Linked DNA regions of Struthio camelus. The protein of the gene in region 2 interacts with the protein of the main gene of each other region in a biochemical or structural test. Links are inferred from orthologs where the notes say so. Each region holds a gene or a part of one and is shown on either strand. Other genes may lie near its edges. The genes, in order: MAPK10 and MAPK8IP3.

Region 1 (7,494 bases), on a different chromosome or scaffold from region 2:
CAAACAAGGTTTCTTGAGTACAAAAGATGTTTTGTTTCTATGAAAAATTTTCAGATGTCTGTCTCCACAGATGGTGCTGCAAGAAACTGAAGAAAAAGACCTGACAGCAAAAGCAACATTTTTGGTTTTAAACGGGTGCCTTTTCTGAGTTAATGATTCTTGCAGGTGCCCTGATTCAAAACAGGGAGCTTGCAAGAACCACAGAAAAGGGTAGCAGCGCATGAATGCAGGAAGCCAGTTTGTATTTTCATTTAGTATAGCAGTCCAATGAAGTCTCTCCTTTTCTCCCGATAACATAACAGAGCCACAACAATGCTCAACACTGCAATCACTACACTTGTGAGGCGTAATTTTAACAGGGCTATTATGAGCGCAAAATGAAACCAGAGGAATGAAAGGCTCTATGGCTACTGAGTGCTTGCCATAATAAACACATTAAAGACTTGCTTTGTTTTGAAGGCTTATCAACAAGGTGATATTTTCTGCTGTTCAGGAGTTATGCAAGTAATGGCGTAGTCTGCACTGAACTACAGTTTCAGAGACTGAAAATTTCAAAGCTGAAAATCTTTCTCTGAATTCAGTTTTTTCTGCCTGCCAAATCTTAATAAAAATATAACTTTGCGTGCAAGAACAACGCCAACATCCCACTCCTTTGGGCCTGCCTTAGCTCTCCTTTAAATTGCATGAGCTTTACAACAGACCACACACTAGGAGCGGGCCTTACAACACGCCAAATACCACAGCAGGGAAATTCTGGTAGCTCTTCCATTGTTTTTTAAAAGTCAGATCTCCCATTTGAACACCTCCGGAAGATACTTGGCCTTACAGTTATTGATCCAGTATTATTAAGTCTTTAAATAATGGCTAGAGACGTGTCAACCATTTACAGGAGAAAAAAAAATCCCCAAGGTCTGCTCATAAAAAGCCCCTTCTAGCATACATGTGTATTACTAACAATGAGAGGTGCATTTTCTATTACTGAGCAGGAAAACAGGCAGCTGAGGGCAACTAATTTTTCCACATCAAGTGATTTTTGCCCTTACCCCTTTTAGAAGCATCTCTGCAAGCCTAAAGCTCAACAAAACCATAATAACCACAGGATCCTGGCAATTTACGCATGCTCTGTAACAGCAGGACAGAGCAGCGTGTGAGAACGCAGGTTACTGAGAGTCAGGGAGTGAAAACACTGTTTAATGGTTCAGATTGTATCACCTTTGTCATTCACAGCTGTGCCCCCAGAAGAGAAAGGAATTTTGTCAAGTCAACTGAAAAAGATATTTTATGGCACGTTTTCTAGTACGAAGAGTGAGCACAGAGCAGGAACCCCAGAGATTAAAACACTTCGCTCCTTGGTAGCCCCGGTCAGGGGCTACGGAGTAATGTTCCAACACAGGGTTAAAAGGTAAGAGGTTTGGCACACTTGACAGTCCTCAAGGTAAGGTAACCAAATGTAATTTACATGCGAGCAAAGACAAACAGCCCGGTGCAATACACAAGAGGTGCGAAACACAAGACCGCTCTGCTGTATCTTAACCTTTCCCTTTTTCCAAAGCTGACTTGCATGATAAGCTCTGAGCCCTCCAGGAAGCTTATTTCAGGAAGGAAGGAAAGAAGAAAAAAAACAAAACAAAGTGAACAAGAAAAAAAAAAACCCGAACACACACAAACAATATATCAGTTTACATTTTCCTCTTAAAAACTGCCACCCACTCCGTGCCTTCCCTTCCCTTTTCAAACTTTGTATTTTCACATAACGTTGGTCTGCCTTTAAAAAGGTCTCTTGCAAAACTCGGAGTGAATGCATCAGAGAAGGAGAAGCCTGCATTGAGGATATCGTAAAGCTATGCAGCAAAAAGAATCCATGTAAACAAGCTTACAATCACTCAAGGCGTGAAGCCATGGAACATGCCCACTGTAGTTCACTGGAAGCACAGTATGCTTATTAAGCAACGCTGTCACACTTCATCATCCAAGTAAAATTTGTATTATTGCTAATAAAGCCTTTCTGCAGAAAAGAACAAAACATTTCTTCCTACAGCAATAGCTGCCAGATGATTTCCCTGCAAAGCAACATTGATTTCACTGCAGCGTCTACCAAGTGTTGAATTCTCCTTCGCAAAATAACTGCCCTGTAGCGTGCTGTAAACACTTTTCCTATAAGCTCTTGGTTGTTCCATAAAACACAGTGCTTGTTTGTTCGCTTGCACCTGGGAATTATGCAGTAGAGGGATGCCTACCTTAAGAGACCACTTTCTTATAACGGCCCCTCACAGCCCCCACATTCAGCCCATCAACATAGTTTTTCAAACAATCTCTTCCCCCCCCACCACACTTCCTTTTCTTGTTCGAATTCAGCCCCTCTGCAAAAGGCCGAGATTTCTGTCCTCTAGATCTTAAAGCTGCTGATCGTTACCCTCTCTTGTCATTCTTACAAACTCAATTTTTATATGGCTCTACACAAACTATATAACCCACATAACTTATTCATTTCTACTAAATTGCAAGCCAAGATTCCTCCTTCCTCCCCAAACCCCCAAGCAGTATTAGCAGCGATGAGGCTAGGTAAAACACTACTGTTTACATGAGCCAGCTGTTAAAGCACTATCACTCCTGTCCGTGCTGTGCCTCTGCATCGCTCTCACCACCACCAGTCACCTGAAGTGCCCAAACAGAAAAGCTCATACACACCCGAACACAAGACGACGATGGTCCTCTGGCCACAAAATATGTACTGCTGCAGCCTTCCTGCTTCAGTTAGCGGTTTACTTCATTAACCTGCCGCTCCGTCTCTCTCCCCCCTCTCATTTTTTCAAGCAGCAATCAATATTCATCACCCCACCCTGCAAAAGCAGGTTAGTCATAGAATATTAGCATCATCAACCTACCATTCCGTGCTTGCGAACTATATTCTTCTCGTCCAGCAACCTTTTCCCCAAACTGTGATTTTAGGTGGTATTTTTAAACCACATTCCAAACAGGGCCGAGGAAAAGATGGGTTATTATTAATGATGATAATAAAAATAAAAAGAGAGGCAGCTGCATTCAAGGAAAATTAATTTTTTCTTTCAAGAACTAAATAAAAGCCTGGGGGAACAGGTAAAGCAGAATGGAAAAAGGGGAGCCAAAACGTCTGATAATAACGAAATAAAAGGAAAAAAAAAAGAGAGTGGCTTGCTGAATCACGCTCTTTCACTGCCTGGAAACCATTGTGCAGCGTGATGCTGGCTGTACCATTGTGGAACCTACCAGAGGAGACAGGCAGAGAGCTTGGGGAATGGGGCTGCTATGGCAACTGAAAGGAGCACACATGACGTCAAAGCACATAGAAATCTCGGGGGGGGGGGGGCAAGGGGAGGGAGAGAAGAGAAAAGCCTAATCTGCAGCCACAGCTACAGTATCTCCTAGTGAATCAGGGGACAAAGCACAGCAAAGGGAAGCTGAATAGCCTTCTGTAGCACTTATCAGCAGTAGCAGCTCAGGCATCTGCAACATCAGGGAGCTAGTCAGTGCAGAGAGGAGGTAATAACAGGAAGAATTCATTCAGTGCAGATCTGCCCTTTTGTTTGCATTAACTGCTATATGCACATGCATAAATACCCACCCCCCCCAAAAAACACAACTATTTGAAATTAAATTTACATTTTGTTCTCAAGCAGGAAAAGCGCAGAAGGCATTTCCTTTCCTTCGCAGCTATTCAAAGCATACATGGGCAAGCAATATCCCTCTGAGGAGGGAGTCCCTTAGAAGACCAAGAGATGACTATAGATCTCCCCATTACCAGTACATTGTGCCCATTACTAAAACGTCCAAAATCCCAGGATTAACAACCTGGCACTTGCAGAGGGTCCCACAGCACCGGGGTACTATTGCATTTTGAACTGACAGAATCAGAGCTGGTGGTCACTCTTCATGCCTTCTAGCATCAAGAAGAGTTATGCAGCTACCTTGCTTTGGTTAGCAGTTTACTTACTTCATTAATCTGCCTCCTTGTCCCTTTCCTCCTCTCTTATTTTTTAAGCAGCAATCAGTATTCACCACCACACCCTGCAAAAGCAGAGTAGTCACAGAATACTAGCATTAACCACCTACCATTCCAGGCTTACGAACTGTTCTCCTCGTCCAGCAACCTTTCCTTCTGTTTATTACAAGTCACAGGATGTCTCTCCTCTTCTGATATTTACCGGCAAATAAAGTATGCCCATAAGACTATTACACTAGACTAGACTTCCAGGCATTTACATCCAAATAAGACCTGGTCAGAAATATTACACTGAAATTCCACCTTGCTGGAATACATCTCTGTTGAAGCACAAAAATATTTCACTCGGAATATATCTGTCAAATGAAGCTCCAGGGAACCCAAAGCAGCTTTCCCGCTACTGTTCTGAATATTCCACAGGCTTTTCTATGGCCACAGCCAAACACAGTCCGTATGACCCAGAACCGATGCCACAGATTTCATCTGCACCAGGCTGGGTATCTGTTGCCTTTCTGAGGTTAATCCAAGTGCCTTTAGCAGGCCATACACTGACACAGATATAACTGACCAACAACAAAAACGAACAGTGGGACCACGGGTGTAGCAAGTCACTGGCTGCATCTGGGCCCGAGCTATCCCTTTTTCCTTTAATCCTATTACATCCCTCCACTCCTTTCTTCACCAGCCTGTTTCACCTGCGTGTTCTATCAGTCTTTCTTTTGATCTTCATCATGCATCTTTTCCACATGCACATGAACCTATTAATTTCAAACAAAACACAACACACACAACACACTACTGCTCCGCTGATGTTCCTGTTTTTCACTTTACAGCTCTATACTGCAGACTAACAACCACTGCGGAAATTTCCTCCAGGTTTCACCTTACACTCAAGGAGAAGATGGCACAGCAAAGAAGCATGCAAAGGTACATTATGTGCCCAGAGAACGCCTTAGCAATGCCACCAAGGCCCTGAAAGAGGTACAGAGGGCAGCAGTGTTAAAATCTCCACAGCAGCCTGCAAGACCTACACAGCAGACATAGTCAAGCAGTCCAGACAGTTTTAGGGAGTGGAATAATTGGTCTCAGTAATCATGGCATATCTGAACACATAGGCTTCAGCAATCGGCAGTTAACTCAACCTGTATTTTTCAGGGTAGGAGGGGCAGGGAGTAAAGGGCAATTTTTAACTGACAGCTAGAAGAGTAGCAGCAGCTACCATTAGCAGAAAATACAAGTTATGGGGGGTGGGGGGGAAAAAAAAAAACAAACACACACCCATCACAGGATTGGGAAAACTAAAAAAAAAAAAAAAACCAAAACAAAAAAGCAAGTTTCCTGCTGTCATTAAGAACTTCCTCTTTTGACAGTATTAAAATTCACCAAATCCTGTGTGTAGGTTTTTGGAGTTTTTTTTGTCCCCATAACTAAGTTTTTCTTTCTCCCATATCATAACATGTCTTTCCTCTATAGGCCTCTTAGACAGTATTTTCTGCTACCATATGTCACGTTTGCACTGAAGAACTACTTCCCCTTCCAGTACAGATGATGGGTACAACACTCTGAGAAGAGTTTCATCCATTCCAGACTCTGTAGAATGACAAGAGAATACCCTGAAAAGTAACTTCTTTCGTACTTTCAGGCTTCTTTCATACTTTCAGTCTTCTTCAACAATATTCTAGGAAAACACTTAAAGTTACGCAAAATTCCAGAACGAAGCTACCTCTGTGAACAAAGCCTATGTAGTACTCTTTCTTTCTTTCTTTTTTTTTTTTTTTTGGGGGGGGGGGCTGTTTACTGTGAAAACACAAGACTGCTGCCCATTTGGAGAAATGCCACACTTCAGCAACCACAAAATATCCATATACATAAATACATATATATGTACATACAAGTTTATTACTAATTGGGGGCAACAATTTCTACTGTGGTCCACCCACATATTGTAACTGTATTACCTAAAATGTTCAGGATACATTTACAGGGAGAGCTTTCCTGGAGGAAAAACCACTGAATGTGTCAGTAGACAGAAGACGACCTTTGTAAGTGGCATTAACTGCCTACTCCTTGGTGCAGAAAAAAGGAGGAAGGGGAAACGATGTTTCTGACACGATTATGAGCCTGGGAGGGGAGGAGGAAAGGGTTAAAAAAACAACAAAAAGCTTAAGTTCTAACAGAGGTGACAGAGGCTTCAGAATGTAATTAGAGTATCTGTCTTTTGAACAACAGATCTAATGGAAAAGAGCATCTTTTCAGGGGCTGCTTTTACTGATAAAGGGATGCAGCTGCCTAGAGCAATACCAGCATTTCACTTCACCCTTGTCTGTAGCCATCACAGCTCACTTTTTGTGGTGTCTTGTTGAGATGGCTCACTGGCTGGGCCAAGATGCACAAAGATGCAATAAAATGCCGCCTGGCCTGGAATTAAGCCTCAGATTAAAACTGCAATGGCCTGACACAGTGCAGAAAACTTCAGCGAAATAATTTAAAGATGTTTTTAGGCTAGATTCCATTGGCACCCGTTTCCCAGAAGAGCTGCCCTGACCTTAACAGCCCTCCACGACAGGCAAGAGCAGAAGAGGACATGGGCTCAATATAACATAAACTGCACTGAAGTAGATGTTTACAACATGAGGATAGCTACAGAGGTCACCATAAGCCAATTAAGTTCATTTCAGTTAAGCTCTTATACTTCCTTTGTGCTTCTACAGCACTCACAAGCATCAGTCTTTCTTCATACACAGCTTTCTCTCGTCCTATTTAAACAAATTCCCAAATAAGCACATACAATTTTAGTCCAAGAGATGAGCAGTAGGCTGTATCTCTGTGACCTATTTTGATCAGACAGACTGGGAGCACTGAGGTTCGGAGAACAATTATGTCAGGGTTTGCTCACATTCAGTTCTGTATTCAAGCAAACAAAAAGAGAGCACCCATCAAACATGAAATAACAATGTTAAATTGAGATTCTGATCCACCTGCATTGCCAACTCCTTGTTTGCTGATGCTATTTATTTAAAAATAGTAATAAAATTATGAAAAATATATGTAGGTAAGTGATGTAGGTAGTGTAGGTAAGTCTCTTTAAACGAATTAAGCACTGCTTTTAACAGACAGAGAAAAGCAGCTGTGGCTTTGCGCTCACCATTAACAGATACCGTACGAATCTTCTGAAACGGTGCTACCAGGGATCCAGTAGCTACATTACCACCAGCTCCGCCAGAAGCGGAAGCACTCAGTGACCCACGGCATTAACCCACATGAAATTCGGGACTAAACTAGAATTGCTCAAGCAGTTTATGCCATTCCCACTAAAGCCTGCTGTCTCTGCTGCATAGATGGCTGAATGCTGCAGCTCTTAAATTGCCAAAGACTGCAGTCTGGCATATTGAAGTAATCTGAAATTGGCAATGGCTTAATGCACTGGGCTGCAAACCGTGGTGATTCAGGAGCTTCTACATACCCCATTCAGCTCTGCCTCATATAGTTCATACTCTTTTCACCGGCCAAACAGA
Region 2 (8,044 bases):
CTGCAGTAGTGATTAACAAGAGAATACAATGCACCTTTTAATGCCACAGAACAATGCTCACTTGTGGTTTTACTTAATTTCAAATTAATAAACTAATATAAAGTAATTAGGACTTGGGGTCTTTTGATGATATTATACAGAAAAGACCAATTTTTCATCTTCAACTCCCAACATCTCTGTGTCACTGCGATTCTCATAATTAGGAGTAATATACACAGAGAAATCATGACTAGGATTAAATCCAGTTCCCAGAAGAGGATCCTCCCATTTAAAGGGACAGGGCAGAGACCTGGGCGAAGGCACAGCACACAAAGCTGAACACTGCATGAGAAAGCGGGACGGATTTTCCCTGGTTACTATGGGCACTGCTACATAACAGCAATGCACAGTCTGGTGTGAAAACTGTTTCTTTTATTTTTGATTGGTTTACAATTAATTCATGGAAAACAGACTTCTCTGTAAGAGATGCAGATTTTCACCTCCATAACCCATAATGTAGTTTACCACACAGTAAGCAGCTTATGGCAAACAGGTGCAGAGAAATGATGTATTTTTTGTTACAGGTACAGGAAAATAACAGCCACGTATTCCACATATGACCTTTCAATAGGGGCTGTGTGGAAGAAGAATATTCATTCACTCCCAAAAAAAGCATGTTTCTATCTCTGCAAATACTGCACTTGTAAAAAAAATTTTTTTTAACTGCAAAATATCAGCTCTACGCAAGGTTTAATAAATAACGTCTCATGTACTCAGGATCATCATATGCATTCATAAGAATTTTAAACAACTAGTTATTAGTCCATTAATAAATAATTAAAACTTAGGATTAAAAATTTAATTGACTGGCTCTAGCTTTCAGTATTAGTAATAGACCATGAGTATCCTCCTCATCATTAAGTTAAGAATATGACTACTGTATATGACTATTAAGAAACAAGAACACTGGTAAAATATTTTACAGTGCTCTACCTTCTTCTTGAATTCAAAAGCTATTTTATTAATTACTGCTCATCACATCAGAATCTGAACCTCAGAAAGACTACGTAAGTCTGGAAGTAGACAATTTTAAAGCAATTGTGTAAAGAAAAGAGAATGATGTGTTGGGTAACAAACTTTTTCCACTACCAGTCCTTAATCCCAGTTCACAGACTATTACTTCAGAAGGCTGCAGAGCAAACCTTGTGCTTCACAGACCTCATTTATAGCTGAAAGAACGCTCTTGATTTCAGCAGGGACAGAAGCAAATGTACCAAGAAGAGAGACAGGAAGTTACCTCCCCTCTCTCTTTTGGCTATTGCCATGTCTTGGTAACCCAAGTATTTTGCTTTCCTTCCATCAGAAGGAACTGTTTTGTCTTATGATCCACTTTCAAATTCCCCCCTTCACCTGAGCAGCAGTGCTCTCCGGCACGGCTTCCATGAATGCAGATTTGTACACCCAGTGCAGTAGAAACTGCAGGCTCTAACTTGAGAAATTACGTTATTAAGATTCAAGTTGCAGGCTTGGTAAAAGTAAGTTTCAAAAATCAGATGTCCAACTCTACAAAGAGCATTTTTTGCCTCAAATGAACAGCTTACTGTTGAGATTTTAAAAACTCTCCTGCTGCACTACATCGCTACAATGAAAGTGGCCACCGCCACCACCACCAAGCCAGGATAAGTGCACGGCAGAAAGTAAATAAAAATTTTAAAGCATGTTTTTTAACCACAAATTAGCACAAATTTCAAGTCATCTGTGTTTCTGGTTGGTATTCTAAGCTAAATTCTACACATTCACAGAATCACAGCTATTTTTGTTCATTTTTCTCTTTCCTCCTTTCAAATGGGCAAAAACAGTGGCAGCGGTATCTGCCTACTTGGCTTTACGCATACGATGATGCGGGAGAAACAGATCCTGCGTGTACATGTGAGAAAGTACAAGCCCGGGGAGCAAGCGAGATAGCCATTTTCTCATGGATCTTCACCCAGCGAGAAAAAGGGAACGTCACCAGGATACGTTTGCAGGGAAGAACCGGTAACATCACAGCTACCAAAACATAAAGAGGATATGTTGCTAGCTGTGTGGAAAAAGGCCACGGGGAGCGCAGCGTGCCCCATCCGAGAGGCCAGGCCTGCGCTGCGCCGCGCAGCAGGCGGCGAGGGCGGGCAGCGCGCCCGCCGCAGGGCGGCCAGGTGCTCTTCCCGAAGGATATGTGGGGTCCGCTTCTCCCCCGGGCTCCCTGCACGCCGCCCGGGCAAACGCCAGGCCTGCGGGCAGCCCCAGGCCTGCTCCCGCTGCCTGCTGCTGCTGCGGAGGAGAAGAGGCACCGCCAGGGACCGGAGCGGAGAGACGCGGTCGGTAACACCTGACCGAGCGCAGGAAAGCCCGAGCCGGCAGGCAGGCGGCCCCGCGCCGGCCCGCCCGGGCAGCGCTTCCTCGTCCGCTGCGCCAGCACGGACGGGAGATGCCCGGGCGGCAGCGGGGCCGGCGCCCCGCGCCAGGCCGGAGCCGCAGGCCCTGCCCGCTTGGCCGGGCCCGGCAGCGCGGGCCGTGGCGCAGGCGCCGGTGCCCCCGCGAGGCGCCGGTGCCCGCCGGGCGGGCGCACAAGATGGTCGCCGGCGGCGAGGCGCCGCGCCGGGGCACGGGGCAGGGAGGCATAACGGCGCGATGGCCCCGGGCGGCGGGGCCCGGCCCCGGCTCACCTCCTCGGCCTGCTTGCGCAGCGCCTTCTCCCGCTCGTACTGCGTGAGCAGCTGCTCGTTGTCCTCCCGCAGCAGCTCCAGCTCCACCTCGTGCTCCTGGTTGTCGGTGAGCACCGAGTCCAGGTTCTCCAGCACCGTCACCACCAGCGGCATCAGCTCCTTCACCACCTCCTCGTCGTAGCAGTGGATGAGCCGCTCGAACTCGCGGTAGATGCTGTTGGCCAGGCCCGACACCCGCTCCGACATGACGGAGCCCGAGCAGTAATCGTCGCCCGGGTACCCCCCCACGCCGCCATCGTCCAGCTGGATCTCCAGCATCGTGCCGGCCTGCCAGGGGACAGCTCCGCCGCACCACCCGCGCCGCCGCCGCCGCCGCCTCGCAGCCTGCCGCCGGGCCCCGCCCCTCCGCCGCCGCCGCCGCCGCGCGCCAATGGGCGCCGCGGCGCCGCCCCCGCCCGCCGTGTCACGCGGCGCGGGGACCGGCCCGCGGCGGAGCGGCCCCGCCCCCCCCCTCCCCCCCGCCGCCGCCGCCGCCGCCGTCGCCGCCGCCGCCCGCAGCGGCGCCCCGGCTGCGCCCCCGGCCGCGGCCCGCGAAGGCTCCGGCGCGGGGGGGCCGCGCGGTCCCTGCCAGCTCGGGCAGCACCGCCGCGGGGGCCGGGGGGCCCGCTCGCCTCCCAGCGCGGGGCCGGGTCGCCCATCCATCCGCAAACCGTATCCGCACGGCCGCGCCGTCCCCCGCGCGTCTGCACGGACACCTGGGGTGGGGGAAAGGGCGGGGGGAATTTTAAGATCAAGCCCATCCGCAACTAGTTTCTTGCCTCAAGGCCTACGGCCGAACAAAGGACCGCCCCGAAGGGTCGGCTGCACCTAAGGACAGCGTGCAAACTACGCGCCAGAGTCGCGTCCGACCGCTCAGCGCTGCGGAGCGACCGCTGTACAGCAGAGCCACGGACAAAATACAGCATCTTCACGGAAGCTGCAAAGTCATACTGCATGCTGCAAAGCCAACTTTTCCCTCAGACCTGTACCTCGGGGTTAAGAATCAGCAAATCTAGCTGATTCCCACATCTTGGCTCATTTAGTTCTTCCTGACTGAAACCCGAACTCATGCGCATCGCGATCTGGCCAAAAAAGCAAACTGCTTCAGGGCAAATAGTTGTCCCAGGGCTGGATATGTTAAGCTACAAACTAGAGAGGCCTTCAGTGTAAATAGCGCAAAGGTCACCATTACTCAGCTCTCACCCGTTTAAACTTTTAAGTTCTCCATCATCTGACCAAAACCAAAGAAGCATTACCTAAATTGGATGTTGTTCACTCAGAGGCCTGATCTGGAAAGAACTTTTTTTTGGCAGAGGGGGTCAACTTCCAGCCAGAAGTGTTAGAATCTAATTTTGCCACCCAATTATGAATGTAAAACCTCCAAACACCTGCAGACCTGCAAGTTTCTTCTTAGGATCTACGAAAATCAGGGCACTCCTTTGCGTCCATACAATAGTTGTTTCAAGTTAGATATGTAATTATATTTCCAAGATCAAGGTAGCTACAGGGAAAGAAGAGAAAGACCTATTCAGACAGGAACAAGTGAACAGACAAAAACAGAGGTCAAAAGTCGCCATTTTAAGTCCTAAAAAAGAATCCAGCGCCTGAGCTTTTGAGAGCAGCAGCACAATCAGAGAGATTAATCAATAGATCACTCTAAGCAGCAGCGCGCTCTGAAAAGCAACACGCTGCCAGAAATTGGAGGCAGCCTCCAGCATTCACAGCAAATACTATAAGAGGCAAATTGAGATTCATACGATACTCATTCATTTCATGCAATACCTTCGTAGAGATTCTAACGAGGGGGTTGACATGGGAAGCAATGCTCCAAAATGCATATGTTATTGGCATTCTCCAGGTCTCGCTGTCGTGCCTAGAAAATTTCATTACGTGATTATTCCTCTTGATGCCCTTTTGTGAAATATCCTTGTGAACAACCTTCCTGTGAAGGACACCGCTTTTCATATTCTTAGCTGAGGGAGCGGAAGGATTCTGAAATATCAAGGACATACTTTACAATTCCTGACAAAGAAAAGGCAAATAAGTGAGTTAAATTCTTTACATACATCTGAAATTCAGACATTTTTCATTTAGGTGTTCTCTCATAAGAGGCAAATCTGAATTGGTCAGTAGGAAGAGAAATGGTTTACAAGCTAGGTAAGTGATTTCCATCATTGGAAGAAATGAACATAGTAGCTGACGGAGGGGTATTTCTTAATCAGCCCAGCTACTACTGTCTTCATAACTCAATGCCTTAACCAGATTTTATTATATGCAGAAGTCACTGTTCAATCACCTGATGACCAGAAATATTCAAATTAAGTATCTCTAACATTCCTTGAAGGATTCTCTCTAGTTGCAAGGGTTTGCCAACTAACTGAGATTTAAGTCTAAAAACTGATGTAGGTTTACAGTTATAGTTGCCTTTTCTAATTTTTAAACAACATAAAATACTTCAAGATTATGGAGCAAAGTTCTGTGCAAAAAAATATAAACAAAAGTTAAACTTTGCCTTTGCAGCACCCCAAATTTGTCCAAAACCTAGATCTGCTTGACAATGGAGTTTCCAGTGCTATTAATTCACAAAAACACCACAGGTTTCATAGTTTTCACTGCTGGAGCATCCACTATCACATTACTGCAACCTGACTATCCTCAGTAGGAGATTTGATTTATGTTTGTGAAAATAGAGTCATATTCTCTGCCGCTACTCTGGTAGTTAATCGCCTTTCAGTAGTGCTTACTTGGTGATATTGTCTCTTCTGAGCGCGCAAAACAGACCCGTACACCCCATCACACAGGAAGAATGGCCAAACTGGTATCTCAGGCTTTATTTCAGTAAAATGGCAGCTATTAGGGATGCCTTTTTTCATTACTGTGGCAACACTTCAGCCTGCGACTAATGAGCTGACACAGGACTTCATGCTAATTGTGCTCATTTCTGTTAGCTGCATAAATATTAACACTCAGGAAGCTACGGTGTGGCTATATTCCAGGTGCCGTTCATCCAAGTCCAGTCTTCTTACTTTTTCTTCCTTAGATTTCTACATGTCAAGAATAGACAGCTAAAACCACAATGAATGGACAACTGAGGTGTCTGGATTCTTGAAACGGATACCTTTTACTGTTGCTTTATAGATAAAAGAGCTTTTCCTGAGAAATGAATTAGCATTTCAGGCAAAGATTAAAAAAAAAAAAAACCTTACAAAAAAACCAGGCAAAGAGAGAGCCAAGAGAACTGTACAGCCCATTCGCTATAAACAAACACTTTCAGTCTGGGTGGTAAAAGAGGGAGACTAGACAAACAACTGCTTAAATTAACAGCTTAAAATCAAGGATAGGTTTTCAAACGTGGCATTGTTGTTAAAGGCTTAAATGTTGAAAAACTTGGATAGACAAGACATTTGTATTTTACAACACTATTTAAATCTGCATTTTGTGGTACAGCTGGTTTAGTCTAAAACATAGTAATTCAACAGGTCCGTTTTTACAGGCAAACAATACTTCACAGTACCTCTCCCTTAAAAGTTATTAATAATCGTTATCTGTATCTTGCTAACTGCCTTTCCTTTAGTTAGCCCTTTCGATAGTTTATGTCACTGGAATCCCAAATACTGGATTTTATTAGGCAAACTGAACAAGCCAAAGTATACAGTCTTTCTGAAGTTCAACTGGGCAATGCTACATATGGTGCAAACACTACAACAAAAAAGAGGGATATCCCACAAAGTTATACATGAGTGTATTGTTCATAGCAAAACTCAATGGCCCGTTCACCTAGAAAATAACCCCTAACATTACAGGTTATTTAGTAGACATGGAAATAGATTTTGCGTGATAGAAGAAAACTTGAAACATTTTATTCCCAGAAGAACTGAGATGCCCACTTACATTTCTATGGATCTATTATAATACAAGTCTTACTATCCCACTATAGCAAATAAGCATACCTAATGTAACCTTCTGATCCTAGTGACCCTTATATTGTCCTCAGAAATGGGAAAATGATAAATGTTTAATCTGAATGTCCAACTTATCAAATATCCAGAAAAGAAATATCCACTAAACTAGTACTAGTAAACTATTTTGTAATTATTAGTAAGCTTTTACTAAACTACTACTTACATATAGCTATTTTCCCTGCATACATGAAAAAAGCACTCAAACAGATAAATCCAACTGTTTTTTTCAGACACTGTGTCTAGAATACCCCACATGTAGGGAAGAAACAGGATATGTACTACTTTCAAGCATGTCCTCAATTGAAAAGATATAATATCAGCTCTATAAAAGATATAATAGGGTAATTCAGGCCTCAAACTCTTTTTTTTGAAAGATTTATAAAAATTTAAAGGAATAACAGTATCCTCATGGTTTTTGTAAACAATCCAAGATAAATAGTGTTTTACTTGGATTTAAATGTTCCTTTCATCAGAATTTATAGATCAATCTCTTAAGCTAGCATTTGGGAGAAAATGTGAAACAGAAGATGAAACTGAATAGTTTATTTTCACAGAGGAGGACCAATATCATCCTGGTTATATATAATCAAAGAATTGCATACAATACCCACCGGAAAACCTTTCTGTAGTCCATGCAAATTAAACAGCGTTTAAGGTAGAGGAAATTCTCATAGTCTAAACAGGGTCGTTTTCTACCATGTGTATTTGTACTGCAGTAGCATCTAAAACTCCAAGTATGAACCACAACAGCAGCATACTAAACACTGCACAAAGGCAGTAAGATCAAAAGTGGTCCTATCCAGAAAAATCTTGTGATCTAGGGGGGGGGAAAAAAGGAAAAAAAAGTCTCGCAAAAACACAGGCAACTGGGAATTTTTCCACACAACAAAATGAAAATTAACTACTAAATACCAAATATAGCGAGTTGTACATAATAACATACTCTGCAAACAGAAGTAGTAAAGAACTGTGTGGGATTATAGATACATGCATATTAATGATTTTTTAAGAAATATCTATTTCCAATGTGTATAAAACCAAAGATTAACAGCAAGATACTCAGTTAACTCCCATTTTAGAGATGCTAATCTGCTCTTAGAAATTCTTGTGAATATTATCTCTGTTTTATAGATCCAAGAAACCAAGGCAGAAGTACTAAGTGGACCACAAAGACCACATAGGGGAGGAGTGCTGGAGCTCCGATTAGAACAAAGGAGCTCGAGGGCTAAATGCAGATCCAGAGTCTGCATTTGATCTCAGTCTTTTCATCTTTTTACAGCAATGTGAAGCACCTGTGTGCCAGACAGTCTGCCTTCAGTGCACTGGCCCTTCCTGAATATAATAGAGCTGTCAATGTAA

What was found.
Region 1: the proteins of MAPK8IP3 (region 2) and MAPK10 form a complex in vitro, tested with the Homo sapiens proteins (3 studies listed by BioGRID, with this or other methods). The link is inferred for Struthio camelus from reciprocal best matches to the Homo sapiens genes MAPK8IP3 and MAPK10.

What each region holds. Positions count from the first base shown.
Region 1 is NC_090945.1:10,742,359-10,749,852, reverse strand, and holds the start of MAPK10 (mitogen-activated protein kinase 10), read right to left. Parts: upstream 3,244-7,494; 5' UTR 2,886-3,243; intron 1-2,885. UniProt on the Homo sapiens protein: Serine/threonine-protein kinase involved in various processes such as neuronal proliferation, differentiation, migration and programmed cell death.
Region 2 is NC_090956.1:19,855,021-19,863,064, forward strand, and holds the start of MAPK8IP3 (C-Jun-amino-terminal kinase-interacting protein 3), read right to left. Parts: upstream 3,081-8,044; 5' UTR 3,003-3,080; coding exon 2,685-3,002; intron 1-2,684.